Drosophila melanogaster: one gene and its partner. The protein of the gene in region 1 purifies or fractionates together with the protein of each later gene. This does not show direct contact. Each region holds a gene or a part of one and is shown on either strand. Other genes may lie near its edges.

The links.
Region 2: the proteins of Tom70 (region 1) and mrva purify together in Drosophila melanogaster (affinity purification with mass spectrometry, with the first as the bait; one large-scale study listed by BioGRID). This does not show direct contact.

The regions. Positions count from the first base shown.
Region 1 is NT_033779.5:12,035,195-12,040,240, reverse strand, and holds Tom70 (translocase of outer membrane 70), read left to right. Parts: upstream 1-1,729; 5' UTR 1,730-1,948; exon of another isoform or gene 1,949-2,070; 5' UTR 2,071-2,110; coding exon 2,111-3,086; intron 3,087-3,176; coding exon 3,177-3,970; 3' UTR 3,971-4,238; downstream 4,239-5,046. Other genes in the region: CG6766 (uncharacterized protein), read left to right, coding at 39-856, 914-1,414; CG18788 (uncharacterized protein), read right to left, coding at 4,256-5,046.
Region 2 is NT_037436.4:7,325,563-7,330,637, reverse strand, and holds mrva (minerva), read left to right. Parts: upstream 1-1,795; 5' UTR 1,796-2,309; coding exon 2,310-3,746; 3' UTR 3,747-4,365; downstream 4,366-5,075. Other genes in the region: mus312 (mutagen-sensitive 312), read right to left, coding at 1-339, 399-922, 1,001-1,047; CG42307 (uncharacterized protein), read right to left, coding at 1,047-1,209, 1,275-1,399; Rint1 (RAD50 interactor 1), read right to left, coding at 4,493-4,679, 4,756-5,075.

The DNA of each region.
Region 1 (5,046 bases):
CATCCCATTGGATTATACATAATTTCCGAATTCCGCAGCTCCAATTACTCTGCTGCAGCCCATTTTCTCCGCCCTGACTTGCACGTACCGCATCGAGGCCTACTGGTCGTACGAAATCTGCCATGGCCACCATGTGCGTCAGTATCACGAGGAGCGCGAAGGAAAGAACGTCAAGTTCCAGGAGTACTACCTGGGCAAATGGACCGATGAAAAGATGGAAATACTGACAAAAGCCTGGCAAGCAGACATCAAGGCGGGCGTTAAGCCGAAATACAAAAGCCTGAAGATCGACAACACTCGGTATCCATACTTTGAGATGGAATACAGCGATGGCACTATGTGCGACATAATTAACGCTCCTCGCACCACAATGGTGCGTTATGTGTGCTATCCCCATGGTAAGAACGATATCTACTCCTTCAAGGAGACATCCTCGTGCAATTATGAGGCCATTATACTTTCCTCGGCGCTGTGCCCAATTCGCGCCCTTCATGCCGAAGAGACCAAGGAACTATCCATACAATGTTTCAACTCCGAATCGAAACCGCACAGACCGCTGAGCATGCTGCGGTCGGAGCTAAAGGAATGGGTTGAATCCGAGGCGGATCTGCTGGTTTTCAAGGAAAAGGCTACGGAAAATCTGTGGCCCAAGACGGATGGCGATTTGGTCACCCTTAACTATGGCGGTGATATGGAAAAAGTCCTGCTCGAGCATTTCAGGAATGGTGACCTGAAGGTAGACGGAGACTTTCAGCAGCTCCTGCTGTCTATAGCAGCCTCTGAAACTGGACCAACACCCATCACTGATCTGACGCCCCTTAAGGACTTTATATCGGGCAAGAACTGCCTAACTGGGGTAGGAATAACATGCAGCTGACCCATGCATTTGCTTCAATAATACTCTTTTTTTTAGGGCAATGGCTGGTGGAAGTACGAGTTCTGCTATGGCCGACATGTGCGTCAGTTCCACAAAGATAAGACCAGCGAAGTGGAGCTCTTTCTTGGCTACTTCTCAGAGGAAGCGCATCGTGCTTGGTCCAACGCCAACCCGGACAAGGGTGCACGCCGTTCCGGCTTCACGACATCCATCTGGCACCATTATGGCAAGGGAACCCACTGCGAACAGATTGGAGTGCCCCGCGAAGTGGACGTGAAGTTAACCTGCACACCTGTAACGAACAGCGGCACCGCTGTATCCATGTACCTGCTTGAGCCGAAGACGTGCCAGTATATCCTGGTCGTGGAGTCGCCCACAATATGTGATCTCATCCACAACGCCGATTCCCAGGGCCTAGTTAAACTGGAGAATCTGGACAAGATCTTGGTTACGGAAACCGATAAGTCGACTACCAGTTCCGCTTCTGCTCCTGCTCCAGCTCCAACTTCCAGCACAGATGAGGAGAATCACCCATAGGCTGTCCGTGTATTCTAGTGAATTCCTATAAATACATTGATTGTAATATTACAATGCATTTGTATTTCAATTTGTAAAGTGGATGAAACCGATTTTAAAATTTAAGAACTCTGTTTCGGTCTGATAGAATGTAATATAGAGATCTAAAATATTTATTCGTACAGTATTCGTAAAGTATAAATTCAGGCTTTATTACAAATACATCATATTCGAACTCCTTAGTTTTTTTTTAAACTATTCACACAATTTATTCTCTCACTGATCTTCTTCTTCCATAATAAGCATTCGCAGTGCCGTTATTACTCCATACCTATCGATGTCTATCGTTTTTCGATGTCGTGTGCTCAGCAGGCTGATATACAATAGAATCTAAGTTTCCCGAGTTCTAACTGAAAATAGAACAATCGACGTTTAACAATTGCCAAATTCACAGCAGTGTAAAGTTTTAAAAAAGTGTAAGTTCCGTTCGCTGACTGCACTGATTCACATCCCGGCCAGTTGGGGGTGTGAAAAATCAATTGGGTTGGGGGTTAGGTACTGCAGAAACGTGCCCCCCGCCCGGCATTTAGCAAGCTCAAAAGGCGCTGAGCGATAAGCCAGCGGAGTATTACACAATTTGTGGCGGCACCCAAACTGATTCAGCTCTTTTCTTGCAGTTCATCACACATAACACACATCCATAAAAAGACCGGCTCAATGGCGATGACTCTGAACATTGGCTCGATGAAGCTGACAAAGTGGCAGCTGGCGCTCATCCTTGGAACTCCCCTGGCCATTGGACTGGGCACCTATGCGGTGAAGAGCTGGACGGCTGCGTCCAAGGAGTTGGACGGGGAGAAGAAGAGACCAAAGGCCAAGATCGAGAAGCAGGCCATCTCCCTGGACGGCACCGCACCGGACCAGGAGCTAGAGCGCAATCAAAAGTCCGCTGAGCTGGGCGAGAAGCTGTCGCCTCTTAAGGAGGCCAACAACTACAAGACGGAGGGTAACAACTGCTACAGGAATGGGAAGTACGATGAGGCCATTAAATTCTATGACAAGGCCATCGACAAGTGTCCCAAGGAGCACCGCACTGACATGGCCATCTTCTACCAGAACCGCGCCGCCTCTTACGAGATGCTCAAGAAGTGGTCCAACGTCAAGGAGGACTGCACAGCCTCGCTGGAGTTCAATCCTCGTTACGCCAAGGCATATTATCGTCGTGCCCGTGCTCACGAAGCCACCAAGGATATGAACGAGTGCTTGGACGATGTCACAGCCACCTGTATCCTGGAGATGTTCCAAAATAATCAAACTATCATGTTCGCTGACCGTGTGCTCAAGGAGACCGGCCGACTGGACGCCGAGAAGGGTATGCGCAATCGGGTGCCAGTCGTGCCGTCGGCTTGCTTCGTAAACACCTACACGCGTTCCTTCATCGCGGATCCGCTGCAGACCATGAAAGTCCCAGCCCCTAAATCCGATGCACCCCCAAAGGGTTTCCTGCGCGCCCACCTCGCTTTCCTCGAGGAGAAGTACGAGGAAATTATTCCCGCCTGCACCGAAGAGATCGAATCCTCCGAGGCCGAAGCACAGTACAAAGTGGAGGCTCTGCTTATGCGGGGAACTTTCCATCTGCTGTGCGGCTCCTATGTAGAAAGCCAGCAGGACTTTGATGCTATTATAGCTAATGGTAAGAATTTGTTTAAGTTTAATTCATTAATTAGTCGGTTTTCTTCAGTTGTTTTTTGATTTCTATTCTATTAACTTTATTTCACTACAGACTATGCTGATCCCAACTTGCGTGCGTATGCCTACATAAAGCGGGCAGCTCTCTACATCCAGCTGGATCAGCGCGAAAAGGGTATAGCCGATTTTGCTGAGGCGGAACGCCTGAACCCAGAGAACCCAGATGTGTACCACCAGCGCGCCCAGATACTTCTGCTGCTGGAGCAGATAGAGCCCGCCTTGGCCGAGTTCGAAAAGGCGGTGAGCATTGCACCCAACCACGCCATCGCCTTCGTCCAGAAGTGCTATGCCGAGTACCGACTATCCCTCCTGGCCGGCGACCAGCGGCGCTTGGAGAGCGTAATGCACACCTTCCAAAATGCCATCGAGCGTTTCCCGAGCTGCGTTGAGTGCTATAGTCTAACGGCTCAGGTGTTGGCCGACCAGCAACAGTTTACCCAGGCGGAGGAATACTACAAAAAGGCCATGGTATTGGCGCCAACAAATCCTGCACTTATCGTTCACCAGGCCATCATGGTGCTTCAGTGGCGCGGAGACATTAATTTGGCTGTCCAGCTGCTCAACAAGGCGATCGAAGTAGATCCCAAATGCGAGCTGGCCTACGAGACACTCGGAACAGTCGAAGTTCAGCGGGCGCAACTCACACGGGCCGTCGAGCTTTTTGAAAAGGCACTGCTTTATGCCAAGAGTCAGGCGGAGTTGGTGCACGTTTACTCGCTGCGCAACGCGGCAGTGGCCCAAATCAACGTCACCAAAAAGCTGGGTATCGACATGAACTCAGTGTCGGCAATGGCCCAATCCGGATTGATGGCCCAGGGCGTTGCATAGAGTATGAAACCGGTGTGTGTTGGGATTGATATCCCGAGAAAATAAGAGCCAGCGCGGAGCATTTAGCCAGCAGTCCTACTCTAATTAAGTTAATATCGACCATACCTGTTATTTATATATATATATATAAAGCTTGTTTACGTTTATGCTCCTAGCTTTAGCATAGAAATTGTCATGTATTATGGTACATATGTAAACTAGAATCTGTTGCCTAAGGAATCCACTAAGACAAATCCAGTAGCTTATGTTTAAGCGTAAGATTAAACTTAAAACAAGCAAGTCTCCTCATTGTGGCTCCCGTTCCGGTTGGTTAAACGCCTGGACATCGCCGGATATGTAGCTGGCGCCGATTACCCACATGGCGGCCCTCACACTGCTCACCAGCTTGTAGTCGGTCTCCAGTTGTTCCAGATAGGGCATCAGAAGTGCTGGAAGCGCGCCCATGCCGCCCGAAATGCCCATCAAAGTGCCAGCATAGTTGGGACTCATATCCAGCGGTAGCAGCTTAATGCTCGCATAGTAGGCTCCCATGCCAAGAACGCTCCAGATTCGTGCTCCGCTCATCTTGATCTGTAGCATGTACATGGATCCGCATAGGAAGACCAACCAGGACATGAGGCGGCGTGTCTGAGTGCGCGTGAGAATCTGCTGCTCGATTAGCACGTCGCTCAGCCGCCCTGTTGTCAGTGAAGCTATCCAGTTTCCAACGGACGGTGCTATCGTTTCGATGATGGTGGTTAGTTCTGAGAAACTGGTGCCACGGGCTCTTACTTCCTCTAGCGCAATTTGCAGCTCCTGGGGCAATTTCTGTTGGAATTCCTGCTGCATGGAGGTGGAAACCAGGGCCCAGAGTGGCGTGCTGTTAAGCATGCTCCGCCAAGGTGCAGTGTTGCACGTTGCTTCCACTTCTCTGCGGTGCTCCCTATCCTCACCTTCATATCCATCTTCCCCGTCCATCTCCTCTCTTTCTCTGCCAGTGGTCAACAAAAAGGAGTTGCTAGTATTGCACCTTATGTATTCCCTTTCTTCGCTCTGAATAAACGGACAATGATCCGGAGTGCTATAGCAAACTAAGG
Region 2 (5,075 bases), on another chromosome or scaffold:
GTGCCGGCGTGCGACTAACTTCAAACAAGTCGGTTACGTAGTATGATTCTAGGTCATCTATGGGCCCTTCGCTTGGTTCCCGAAGGATGCGAGATTCACCCTCAGCTCTGAGTTCCTTCAATGCTGCGGTGATCACAGTGTATGGTGTCAGACAACAGTCTTCCCCGTTGGGCTCCTTGCCGCGCATTTCTTGGCCAAGCAATGCAGACACTTTCTCCTCGAGCTTCTTCTGTTGCACATCCGGATTTCTTAAAGTTAGGGAAGTAAACCTATTGGCCCACTTGCCACGTCTACCTCCTTTGCTGGCCACCACGGGCAGGACCGCCAGAGATTTATAATCTAAATGGGGATAAAACGTAAGTCCAATCTTACCGTTTACACTTTATAAGATGACTTACCTTCCTTGGCGGCTGTGCGGAAGCCATACTTCTGCAGTTTATGACGTATTCTCTCAGTGGACTTCTCTTCATCATCCAGTAGGTCAACCACCGCATCGTCATCGTCATGCAGACGAAGGCGTCCATGCTTCTCACTCTCCGATTTGGACAGCGCCAGCGCCATTTCAATGTCATCCGCACTAAAGTTGTCCGCCATGCAATGCTGGGCGGTAACCTCCGCGAAGATCTGCTCGTTGCGTAGAAAGTTGCTGATACTGGGCTGTTGTTTGCTCTTTCCGCGTCCACGACGCGCCCCACTCGACGTTGACACAGTGCTGGCCTTGAGCTTGGGTGCCTTTTTGGGCTTGGGCCCAGGTTTTTCGAACACATTGCTGGTGCGTATTGGTTTGATTTTTGGCGCAGGAGGATCGGGCTGAACAGGAATGTCGGCGAGACATGACGGAACTTCTTCAGCATTTTCGGGTGTGGCAAAGAAGTTGGATAACGATAATGTATCTGCGGCTGCTTTGGTGCTTCGCGTCAAACTTCGGATGAAAGGAAAACAAAGTGTTCGGTTAGATAATGACATTCATTTTATTGGCCTTTATTTCAATTAAAATTACCGAGGCTGCAGGTTTTTGAAGTTGGCTCGCCGCGTCTTGCGATCCATTATTTGTTCCTCTGCTCCTCGCTCTCCTTGATGGCGTCCCTGATGAACTGCGAAGTCCTTGGTGCGCCGAACTCAAAGAGTCCTTTCCTATCGCGCTCCTGTTCGGTTTGGGCCACCGCCTGGGACAGCTTCTCGTTGGCAATGCGCTGGATGGGAGTCAGGCTGAAAACGAGGCGGTGGCAAGCATTAAAACCACATTTATACGTTAAGTTCGAAGATCTGCTCACCTCCAAATGCCGAAGAGCACAGTTCCGGCGGCCAAGAGGGCATAGGCAAATCGATTGCGATACGTGTAGGATGGCGTGCCGTAGGTGCGTCTGGGCTTTCGCTTGGTGGTGTCGATGGGATCCATTGCTGCAAGGGCCGCTGAATTATATAATTAAATACATTTTACCCGGTAAAAAGTATGAAAACATGCTTCAACTCGGCGTTGCTGGATTAGGGTTGTCAGGCTATACTAAATTAAATCAAAACAAGATGCAAGAGATTTCTGCGTCGTTGAGCTCTTGTACTTAAATAGTTTCTCAATTAATGATTATCTTGTTTTATTAATATAATCAAGCGTTTTTATTTTTATTTATATAATTCTATTATATAAATAATCATGGCTTACTAAAATTTGCATTTCAATTAGAGTAAACTTTCGATTATAATGGAGAGCAAAACAGGAATACCGTTCATATTTGTGATCGTTATCGCCTGCCAGCTGTTCGAATGCACCTGTAGCTGCGTCGACAACCCTGCTCTACAGCGAGTTGGCAGCCCCGCCATTGTATATGCGTAATTAACGTTAATTAGGCAGAGGAAAGAATTTAGTTTTATTCGATCAGCAATAAAGTGCGGTTGCACACGTCACCGAACATTTGTTGCCCAACACCGCACTGCGAACTTCAGCTGCAAGTGGAGTGGAAAAACTGCTGATAACCAGTGAACCCAGAGACAACTAACTAGCCCACACAGCCAACAACAACAATAGTTGTTAGACAAAGGGTACTAGTACAGTAAACAAAAACAAAAGCAGCGAGATAAGCCAAGACAAAGCAGAAGAGTTCAACTCGCTCACTCGTTCGCAGAAATTGATACAAATATTTTGCAGAAACGGCAAATACGAAAAGAGAAAAACGAAAGCAAAAGAAAAAACAACTGCGGCAGGAAATCAGAAAGCCGATTAATCATATCACATAGTTTTGCATACGCCCATTCTGCGGGATTCGGCTCCACATCCAACTGGTCAGTGCGGATTGTGCCAGCGGTGAGTGGAGATGGCGCGCGAGGACGAGGAACGCATCGTGGACAATGAGGAGGTGTCGCGACCGACGGAGGAGGACCAAGTGGTCAGTCGGGCCGGTCGGCGTGACAATGAACTGAGCCTTCCGTCCGGCGGCTGCTGCATGCCCTCGAGCACGAGCCACCGGTTCATGGCTCTGGTGTTCATGTGCCTGCTGGGATTCGGCTCCTATTTCTGTTACGATGCACCCGGCGCCCTGCAGAACTATTTCAAGAAAGATCTTAATCTGACCTCCGCCCAGTTCACACTCATCTACTCGATTTACTCGTGGCCCAATGTCGTCCTGTGCTTCGTGGGAGGTTTCCTGATCGATCGACTGTTTGGCATTCGACTGGGCACGATTATCTACATGATGATCCTGCTGGTGGGTCAGTTGATCTTTGCCTGCGGCGGCATTCTGGACGCCTTCTGGATGATGATCCTGGGACGGTTTATCTTCGGCATTGGCGCCGAATCACTGGCGGTGGCCCAGAACAGCTATGCGGTGCTCTGGTTTAAGGGCAAGGAACTGAACATGGTATTCGGCCTGCAGCTGTCGGTTGCCCGATTCGGCAGCACCGTCAACTTCTGGGTGATGCAGCCCATCTATGAGTATGTGAGCAATTTTTACAAGGGACATACCGCTCTAGGCGTCGTCTTATTGCTGGCTACCCTCACCTGTGTGATGTCGATGACCTGTGCCCTCATCCTCGGCTGGATGGACAAGAGGGCCGAGCGGATTTTGCAGCGTAACAACAACCCGGCTGGACAGATACCGAAACTCACCGATGTCTTTTCGTTCAAACCACCCTTTTGGATGGTATCCATCATTTGCGTCGCCTACTATGTGGCCATCTTCCCATTCATTGCCCTCGGACAGAATTTCTTTGTTGATCGCTTCGGGCTTTCGCCTGCTGAGGCCAACACCGTGGACTCGCTGGTGTATCTAATTGCAGCCGTATCGTCTCCGGTCTTTGGTTTCATCATCGACAAACTGGGTAGGAATGTGACCTGGGTGTTCACAGCGACACTGACCACCATTGGAGCCCATGCCCTGCTTACGTTCACCCAGCTGACACCCTATGTGGGCATGATCATCATGGGACTGTCGTATTCCATGCTGGCCGCAAGCCTGTGGCCTCTGGTGGCTCTCATCATTCCGGAATACCAATTGGGCACGGCCTACGGCTTCTGCCAATCGATACAGAATCTTGGCTTGGCGGTCATCACTATCGTGGCTGGAATTATCGTGGATCACAGCGGCGGCGAGCACATGTGGCTGCAGTTGTTCTTCATGGGCTGGCTGACCATTGCCCTGATCTCCACCGGCGTCATCTGGGCCTACAACAACAAGAACCGCGGTAATCTCAACATGACACCCCAGCAACGGGCACAGTTCGTCAGCGCCGAGAATTATCAGAACTTTGAATAGAAAGGGGGGGATACAAAGGCGAACGGCGCCCGCAGATCGGATTATTATCGGTTATTTAGTGTAGACATAAAAGTTACTCTCTGCGGGCAATGCGCCTTGGTCCGTTCCACGATGTGATGATGATGTGTGATGTGCGTCTCGAGTCGCAAATTGGTATTTACTAACTGCAATTGTTTGTCATCCGACGATAGGGATATACAATACGCCCTGATCAGCCATGAATCAGTATTGATATGCGATTCGAGCCCGATCAGGCCGGTTTATATGCTATTTTACGCTATGTATTTTTAGATCAATTTATTATTAAAGTTAAAGTTACCGCATGTTTTTGTGTCAACGTTTTACAAATTAAACCAAACATTGAGACCACAATTCCAACTAAATGTTTAATTATCACAAAAAACATTCAAGACTTGTGCGCCTAGAGCAACGAATTGCTATTTAATTGTAAATATGTACTCAAAATTATATCTCATTCATACAACTTGGTCGTTTGTTACTAGCATTCGCACGAGTTCGAAACTGTGTCCTGGTTAAATACAAATTAGTTAAATCTCCGTCATGATAACTATGTTTATACACATGCCTTTCTTCAAATAAAATGAATGTAAATTACGATAAACATCTTTTAACTTTCATTTTGGGTGTTAATGATTTTATTTCGCAAAAAAACGGCGTCCGAACGTTGTATATCATTTCAAAAGTTCCTAGGGCCCAATTAACTAGCTTAAATTAATTTCCATCACCTAAAACATCTTTATGTCCATCCTCCGCTCCAGAACCTCAATGCACTGTTTGCTGTCCATGCTGAGCACATGCAGTTCCCTCAGCGGCTTCGTCTTCTCCTCCACCGATTGATTACCACGCAGCGTTTCCAGCAGCAACAAAGCTGTTCCTCGTGCCGCCGCCAGCAGCTTGCAGGCATCGTGTGTTCTGGCGAATCGAATGGAAATGAAAGGTGTCAGATTTATGTTTATTGTGCACCATAGCAAATGTAGAGATGACTCACCGCTTGAAGAGCAGCTCGGGACGACGTGTATACTGTCCAAAGAGCGCGAATAAATTGCGTGTCATGTCATAATTGAATTGCGCTGCTCCCGCAGCTGAGAACTTCGTGTTCATGACCATGCTCTCGAGCATGAAGTCATCGATTTGATGGGCTATCAAACGGAGCGTTTGGGTGAACAGATTGGCGGAGAGTTCCCGTTCCAGATTGTGTAGCAGGGTGACCAGCACCTGGAACATTTCGCCACCACTGGGCGAAAGGATGAACGGCTCCCGGCTGTTTTGTTCGGGCATAGTCGGCCACGCGTCACGGCGATAGCTCAT